Oryzias latipes: one gene and its partner. Each later gene encodes a partner of the first gene's protein in a complex. Links are inferred from orthologs where the notes say so. Each region holds a gene or a part of one and is shown in the gene's direction. Other genes may lie near its edges.

What was found.
Region 2: the proteins of llgl1 (region 1) and prkci are in contact, whole or in part, in a cryo-EM structure (PDB 8R3Y), measured with the Homo sapiens proteins. The link is inferred for Oryzias latipes from reciprocal best matches to the Homo sapiens genes LLGL1 and PRKCI. Residues at the interface, in NP_004131.4 of Homo sapiens: Ala315, Asp319, Glu367, His391, Ser392, Ala394, Thr396, Glu453, Cys483, Glu484, His485, Phe506, Asp507, Pro508, Tyr509, Ser510, Asp511, Pro513, Gln518, Lys519, Lys569, Ala600, Val601, Thr602, Leu644, Gly648, Pro649, Leu650, Ser651, Arg652; in NP_002731.4 of Homo sapiens: Asp339, Met341, Gln345, Arg348, Leu381, Asp382, Met399, Thr412, Phe413, Cys414, Pro417, Leu425, Glu445, Gly449, Arg450, Ser451, Gly457, Ser458, Ser459, Asp460, Asn461, Pro462, Asp463, Asn465, Thr466, Glu467, Asp468, Tyr469, Leu470, Phe471.

What each region holds. Positions count from the first base shown.
Region 1 is NC_019866.2:18,034,987-18,039,303, forward strand, and holds the start of llgl1 (lethal(2) giant larvae protein homolog 1), read left to right. Parts: upstream 1-1,229; 5' UTR 1,230-1,564; coding exon 1,565-1,645; intron 1,646-4,317. UniProt on the Homo sapiens protein: Cortical cytoskeleton protein found in a complex involved in maintaining cell polarity and epithelial integrity. Involved in the regulation of mitotic spindle orientation, proliferation, differentiation and tissue organization of neuroepithelial cells.
Region 2 is NC_019875.2:30,180,345-30,184,160, reverse strand, and holds part of prkci (protein kinase C iota type), read left to right. Parts: intron 1-1,208; coding exon 1,209-1,298; intron 1,299-3,463; coding exon 3,464-3,514; intron 3,515-3,816.

The sequences.
Region 1 (4,317 bases):
GATATTCTTATGCTCTTTTCTGTTAAATTAAGGACAAAGTGCTCATAAAAAATAATCTTAAAGAGGACTTTGGCCAGAATACTAAATGGTTTGCTCAAACTACACTTTTAGCTATGCATCTTGATTAAAAACTATTGTTTATAAATTAATTTGTAGACATAATGCTGAACATTAAAGGTGATTATTACAAACTTACAATGTGCCTTAATTTTATTTTGTGCACACACATATGTGTATTTTGAACAAAAATTCTGTTTTCAGTGTCAGTTTCTTTATTTCAAACACAAATGAAAAATAAACACAGTAGTTTAAAATAGACAAATAAAGCTAAACAGTGTGCTTGAAAAGTGAGTGAAGAGTGGGTTGAAGAGAAATCTTGTCTGATCCCACGCCTTTTTTACAACACCATATGATGTGCGTATTCAGTTAAATTTAAACAACTGGATGTATAATTAAAAAAATAGCATAAATAAAGATTTGTTTTATTTTTTTAGTCCACATATTTAACCCACTATGTTATTATATAGTCCCACTCTGATAATCTTTTGATCTATTGTAAAAGCATTCCCAGTGGTCTTTTAATTAGAGGTATGCTGTCTTTAGGCAAATAAAAAATCCTGTGTTGTTTTCTAGGACATAGTTTCTGCAGAATGGCTGGAATTCATTAGAAATTCACCTTTCAGTTGTGGCACTGAGTGAATCCACCTCCATCTCCCATCATCCATCGGTTTACAATGTCCTGCAAGTTTACAGCACCTCACAAACCCAATCTAACATTATCAGTGCAACAAAAAGGGCGAGCATTGTCATAGCTATCCAGACATACAGTTTTGAGCTTGATGCCAGCTCAGACAAAGAACACTAAGACGTACATGGATGTCTTTGTCTACAAGTGGATGCATCAGAATGGAGCTGAGCAAAGGAGCCTGTGGCTTGCCCCAATAATTTAAAGTCTTCTGACTAGATTTGAATCAGTAGAAGACCGAGAAAAACTTAGAATCACATTATTAAGCTTTATTTTCTTGATATATGTCTTCCATCGTCAGAAAATATGTCTTATGGACATGTAAAAAATACAATTTTCATCAGAATCGGTCTTTGAAAGTTTTCATTTTTTTGTTTTGAAGTAGTTTGATTTATTCATAAAGACAGACCGCTTCCCATCACCAGGTGAGGTTGTGTGGCTGTCCCGCTCAATCGGTGCATTCTGTGTGACAAAACAAGTGCTCGGTTGTAGGAGGCGTTTCCTTGCGGTTTCCAGCGCTTATCGTTCCCTTCATTGGTTAACAAAAAGGGGTTCGTGAGAACCGGGAAGAGGAGGGGGTTGTGGTCAAACCCCACCGCGACCAAAGCAGCACAAGGGGGAGAGGAGGAGAGAAAAGACTCGTCGCCGTCTCCGCGGCAGCTACAGCTGTAGCCCCACGTTTGGTCTGTTGGGCTTGTCCATTAGCTAGCATAGCATCGCCTGCCTCCGCCTTCCCGCCGCCGAGAACTCCGGGGTTCTTATCCCACCCAGCGCCATCTGCGTCCCGACTGGAGTTGGATCCTCCGTATCCGCTTAAAGATGATGAAGTTCAGGTTTCGTCGGCAGAGCACCGACCCGCAGAGGGAGAAAATAAAACAGGAGCTTTTCGCCTTCAAAAAGGTAAAGTAACGGGACTGGAGGGTGAGGTGCACGCGAAATCTTTCGTTGTGCCCCGCAACTAAAACACGGCTAGAATAATCAAAATAAGCGAACCTCAACGAAACTGGGAAGTAAAGCGGCTTATCCGCTTGTCTTCGTTCGCCTTTCTGTCCACGGAGAGACTCAATTAGCCGGGAAGGACTTCGGGTCGCTGGGGGAAAAGCTGGAGACTGGAGTCAGACTCAGATGCGCTTTTTGTTGAGATGATTTCACGGCGTGGCTCTGCATTCAGATGAGGACAGAAAACAAAACAATAGAAACCACTTTCATGTAACTAACCAGTATAAACAACACGATAACTCTGAAGGGAGATGCATCTTAAAACTGTAAATAACTTTGCGTTGCTTCTGTATGAAAAGGACTTTATAAATAAAGTTTGAATTTGAACCCTAATTATTCTGACCCATATTTTTGAACTGATCAATGTAGTGACGACTTTTCTCATAGTTGCAGCTTGTTCAGGTTCAGGTTTCATGCAAAAGAAAATTATGTACCACTCTCACATGAATATGAATCGGTGCTCAGAGTCAGTTGGATGTCTGCTGATGTTAGACTTATCTTTAAATCTCTTTTTATTTCATTTTATTTAAATCCAATCTAACTTGGAGCTACATTGTCTATTTTGGCCATATCTGCAACCTTGAATTAGGCTTAAAAAGTCTCTTGTCTTCTGTAAATTGGTTTTTATTATATTTCTTAACCAGCTTGCTGTTTTGCAATCAGGAATTCTGCCCAGTGGTCTGTTAAAGCTCACTATAACAGACCCCATTTTGCAGAGTTCTAGCCCTGTGTTGCTGTGAGATGAGGCCACTATCTTGTGCAGAGGGGGCCTGTTCAAACATTTGGTTTCGAAAGGCAATTGCACAGGAAAACGTGACACTGATCGTTGCTAATGCCCCACCACAGCACCCCAGCTGACAGAAATCTGGCCGTGGACTATTCCAGAGCAAATCTTGGATTTTGTCTGTGGGGTATCGTCCTGCTGGATGAACTAATTTCCTGCTAACTTCAGCTGAGAAAAATGAATTGTTGGTAGCAGAGGAGAAGCCCACATTATCACCACTTTGCTTGACAGTGGGAATGGGATTTTCCTGCCAAAACCTGTAGACAACAAGGCTAAACTTTTAAGCAACACAATTCCACTTTATTCATCCCTGACCAAAAGAAATCACATGATGTTTTACAAGCGCTAGCATTTGCAAAACTCCTTTGAAATGTCCTTAGTCATTGATTCAGAGGAATTCTCTTGGAAATTGTTGCCCACATACCAAATGTCTTCAGTCGGTCTTTAAATTTGCTGCCTTGCTTAACACTACTTTTTACAATTTTCTTCTCTGATATAAAGCTAAATGTGTTCATTTTTTTTCTTGAAAGAATTGCTTTCAAATTGTGAAATTTTCAGGATTTTATTTATAAGCAATGAGTATGAAATTTCCAAGTCTTAAAAGTTTTAGATAATTTTTATAACTTATTTCAAAGTGACTTGTTTCCATCTGTTTAAATTGTTTAAATGTTATTATCAAAACAATCATCCATACAGAATGAACAGAACGCTGAAGATCTCTGCTTTCACAGATCTTCCCCCACCTGCCAATGATCTACAGATCTTTGCAGTGATTCAGGGCACGTTCACACTGAACCTTTTGGTTCACAGTCCTCTTTGGCAGGTGTTTCAAGCTTATTTGAACTCTGGTGAATACCAAATAAACAAGCTGTTCTTTACATGAACACAAGGCTTCAGGTTCACTACAGTGATTACAGACTGATTATCTATCAGAAAGGAAATCATCACAAATTGTAAAAAATGTTGTCGGTAAACTTGGTGTAGTGATAAACTGTAGTGGCTTATTGTTGTGATTGTCAGAAGAGTAGCCAGGCTTTTTGGAATTCTTCTTTGTGCTTTTCTTGTGATCAAACTCAGGGTTCATTCAAACTGCTGTTGGAACTGTGACTGCAAAATGTAAAAGCGAATGCAAAAGGTTTCTGCTGATCTCCACCCGCTTAGCTTTTCTGATGTGAAAGAGTCCCTATCCTTTTGATGTAAAACAATTTATAGCCGCAGATCAAGAAGGTTTATTTTCATTATGCCTTACAAAAACAGATTTAAGAAGAATTGCAATAAAGCTTTCTTGGCTGAGCTTTATGACTTGTTTTCATCTAAAGAGCAGTTAACTGTATTTCTATTTTCTTTTTATCACACTAGTAGTTTATTTAGCAAGTAATTTTTTTCTTTTGCAGGCTGTAATTAAGAAATCCATGCATTTTTGGATGGTAAAAGTCCTTTTAAAAGTTAGGACTGTTATCAATAAAAGCATTAAAGACCCATTCTGATGAAAATCTTGGTGGATTTCATACTCATTTCTAATAAAAATCCTGAAAATATGCTATTGTGGGCTTTTTGGTAGGATTGAAGATGTATAATAGTAAACAATTAAGCTTAAACTTGCAATTGTATCTTGTTTTTATTTAAATCATTGTGAATCAGGAGCAGATTAAAAAATGCTGTTAGAAAAAGAATGGATTTGTTGCATAGAAAATACTCTGGGCGGGCGCCGAGCTCACCTCACACAAACGGGGAGGGCAATTGGGGGAGGGGGGGGGGGGATTCGGAGGCAATTTTCTGATAAACTTCT
Region 2 (3,816 bases), on another chromosome or scaffold:
CAAACTCAGACACTACAAAAGAAAGATTTTCTTTTTGGAGGAACCAGATTTGTCTGAAGTTTACGCTCCAGATTATCTGTGATGCCACAAATAGGATGTTTTTTTTCTTTCAAAGCTTGTTCTGTCCAACAACTGAGCAAACAGATGAGAGCTGAAGGCCTTTTGTGTTGGACAGGTTTACAATCACAATAAAGGGTTTGGGTCTTCAGTGGCTGGGGTGTGTATTTGTATAAACCCCTTTTGGGTTTTTTAACATTTTCATTTATTTATTACATTTTATGTTTAAAAAAAATATATATATATATATATATATATATATATATATATATATATATATATATATATATATATATATATATATATATATATATATATATATATATATATATATATATATATATATATATATTATAGAGGGAAGGGAGATGGGGAAAAGTGCGTGTGTGTGTGTGTGCGTGTGGGGGGGGGGGGTTGTAAAAGAAAAAAAGAGAGGGTGGGATTAAGAATGGGGGGTGTTTTAGGAGCGACAGGAGAGCTGCACTTCCTGGTTCTACTAGAGACCCTCCATGTTGGAGATGGTGGTTTTGGTGTCTAACGTTTTCTTGCAGCATTTTTCTAATGGTGGAGGATATTTGTAAAGAAAATGAAGCTCTAAACTGCATTTCTGAGGATTTCTTTATTCAAATCTCTGCATATAAGGAACAGAGGACAAATGCCGTTTAAAATTATCGTTTTTGTGGCGTAGAAAATATGCTGGGCGGGGCCACAGTCTCCCTGCTCCGCCCCTTTCTGATCCTCCACCTGCAGACCAACAGATCCATGAACGTCTCAGTTTTCCTGGTCTGAGCTGGAATCTGGATCAGAACCGGATGGATGGACGGATCTGATGTTGCTGCTTTTTTTGTTGCACCGCTAATGTTAGGTTGGGGGTGAGAGGGGCTGTAAGCTAGTTGGACAGCATGAAAACAAAGGGATGATGGGATATTAAAAGAGGCTTTCTTCCACGCCAAGAGTTCCGCCCACAACTCTGAAGTAGATTTCTGATGAACTCTTGCTGCTCTGCAGAAACTATGTCTTACCAAATAACAGAATTTTGGATTTTGGCTCAAAACAGAATCATCATCATTAAAGACAACTGAGAAGGCTTTAACCTAACCTTTGACCTAAACCCCTCCATGTTCTTGTTGTGACGGTCTCTGTCGTTCCAGGTGACCCCTGCACCGTGTCTTCTCAGCTGGAACTGGAGGAAGCTCTGCGTCTCTATGAGCTCAACAAAGACTCGGAGCTCATTATTCACGGTGAGCAAACAGATTATTACCAACAGAGCCTCCTCTTTCACATCTGTCTGAGACCATCCTTCATCCAAACTCCTTTATTCCTCAGAAGTAGCATCAGTTCTTTGACGTTCTTTAGTTTCTGCTCTTTTTATCTTTGGATTTAAAAACCACAACATTTGGTTGTGTGAAGCGTCTGGGATGAGGGTCAGCACTGCTAAATCTGAGGCCATGTTCCTTGACTGGAGAAAGGTAGTTTGCCATCTCTCTGTGGGTGGAGTGTTTCTGCCCCAGGTGGAGGAGTTTAGATATCTTGGGGTGAGGGGAGACCGGAGCGTGAGAGTGACAGGTGGATCGGGGCAGCGTCCATCGTTATGCGGTCGCTGTACCGGGCCGTTGTGGTGAAGAGAAAGCAAAGCTCTCCATTTACCGGTTGATCTCCGTTCCAGTTCTCACCTACGGTCATGAGCTCTGGGTCATGACCCAAAGAACCAGGTCCTGAATACAAGCGGCTGAAATGAGCTTCCTCCATAGGGGGGCTGAGCGCTCCTTTAAAGAAAGGGGGAGGAGAGCTGTGAGTAGAACCGCTTCCCCTCCGCATCCAGAGGGGGCTCGGGCATCTGGTCTGGATGCCTCCTGGACGCCTCCCTGGGGAGGTGTTCCGGGCATGTCCCACTGGGCGGAAGCCCCAGGGAAGAGGAGCTGGAGGAAGTGGCCGGGGAGAGGGAAGTCTGGGCAACTATGCTTAGACTGCTGCCCCCGCGACCCGGTCCCGGATAAGCTGAAGAGGATGGATGGATGGATGGATGATGGATGGATGGATGGATGGATGGATGGATGGATGAAAGATGGATGGATGGAGCATTTGGTTGTTGATCTGCTGTTTTGGGCTGTGCAGCTGGAGCCATGTCTGTCTGAAGTAAATGGTTATAAACAGAAGCAGTCCCTCTGAGCCCAAATCATCATCCGTCCACCGCCATGTTTCCACTGGTGTTTGTGTCTTACTGTAAGCGTCATTCCTGCACTTCTTGATCTTTGTATTTCTAGAAGGAAGCCGATTTCTCACAGTTTAGTGGTTTCACCATCAATGAGGGAACCGGCGACAGAATATTTTCTGGTTTCAGTGGAACCGAGCTGCCCCTCTGCGACCAGGACTCGTTCAGCCTCAGAGGAGCCTGTCGGTCCGCTCAGCGTCCCGCTGGCTGCTGCTTTACAAGCCACACCGTCTGCTCCTTTGCATGCTCCATTTCTGCTCATTAAGCTGCAGCTCATGAAACCTCAGGCTAAGAATCCTGTTTGACGAGCTTTGTCAAAGCACATCATCAGCTCTGGCTGTCACTCATGTTTTCCCTCCGTTAGGCTCGTACAACAGCGGGCGGCGTTCCCTTTAGGCTTCATGAATGTTTATTTGTTTGTTTAATCTGCATTAAAGTATTCTTTCCTCTTCATAATAAAAGCCACACTTTACATTTTCTTCACTGAGGATGAACATGAGTGACAGCACACTGTCATCATACTTTTATTTGATTTAAAATGTTTCTGCTTTATTTACCAACAACAAATTCGTAAAAAAATTTGTCCAAACAAAATCCCCCAAAGCATCTTTTATTTATACATTTATGCTTCCGTTTCTGTGATCATCTCAGTTATCAGTTTAACGGAAAAGAGCCAGACTGTCGGCAGAGGCTGACCGGCCGTTTTCCTCTGTGGCTCTCCTGCATAGCCTGGGGGGGGGGGCATCAGGGCATACGGCTAGAGCTTCAGCGACCCGTGAAACAGCAGCACTTCCTCTGTGAACGTCTGCCCCCCCTGTGCTCCCCGTCCAGCCTAACCCTGTTCCGAATGTTGAGGAGCTTGGAGGTCGGGGTTCACTCTAAACGTTGGGCTGTGTTTGTGTAAACATGTGACCCCGAGGGGGCGGGCTCACTAAAGCTCTAATCAGTTTAAGGGTGACGGGTCAATAGATGTCATTCTGACTGGGGAGGAGGCTGGGGCTGGAGGGGGTGCAGGCGGCGGGTTGCCAGGTCTGCTCCTGACAGAGGTCGTTGGGTTCTCTGACTCATCGGTCCGTTCCTCTTCAGGACGTGAATCTTCTGCTGAAATCCCGTCTCTCCGATCCGATTCTGGTCGGATCAGCTGATTTCTTTGGTGATTTATTCCTCATTTGAAGGCCGTTTGTTTCCTTCCAGTGTTCCCGTGTATCCCAGAGAAGCCGGGGATGCCTTGTCCAGGAGAAGACAGTGAGTTCTGCCTCTTCCTTCTGTACAGAACCTGGACCCACGCAGAACTTCAACAATGGAATTTCTTCATGGGACCTTTATTTTTTAAAATCTGCACGGGTCAACTCGACCCAGACACACTCCAGTTTTACATTTCATTTTTCAAACATGTTGACTGATGCCGATGATCTTTACTAAGATTAAGTCAGCTCTACTTCTGCTTTCACCTACCCCCCCCCCCCCCCCCCCCCCCCCAATGAAATTGAGCATAATCAACCAACCCAAATGTTTTTGTGCATCAGCTTGGACCGGCTTCACCAAAC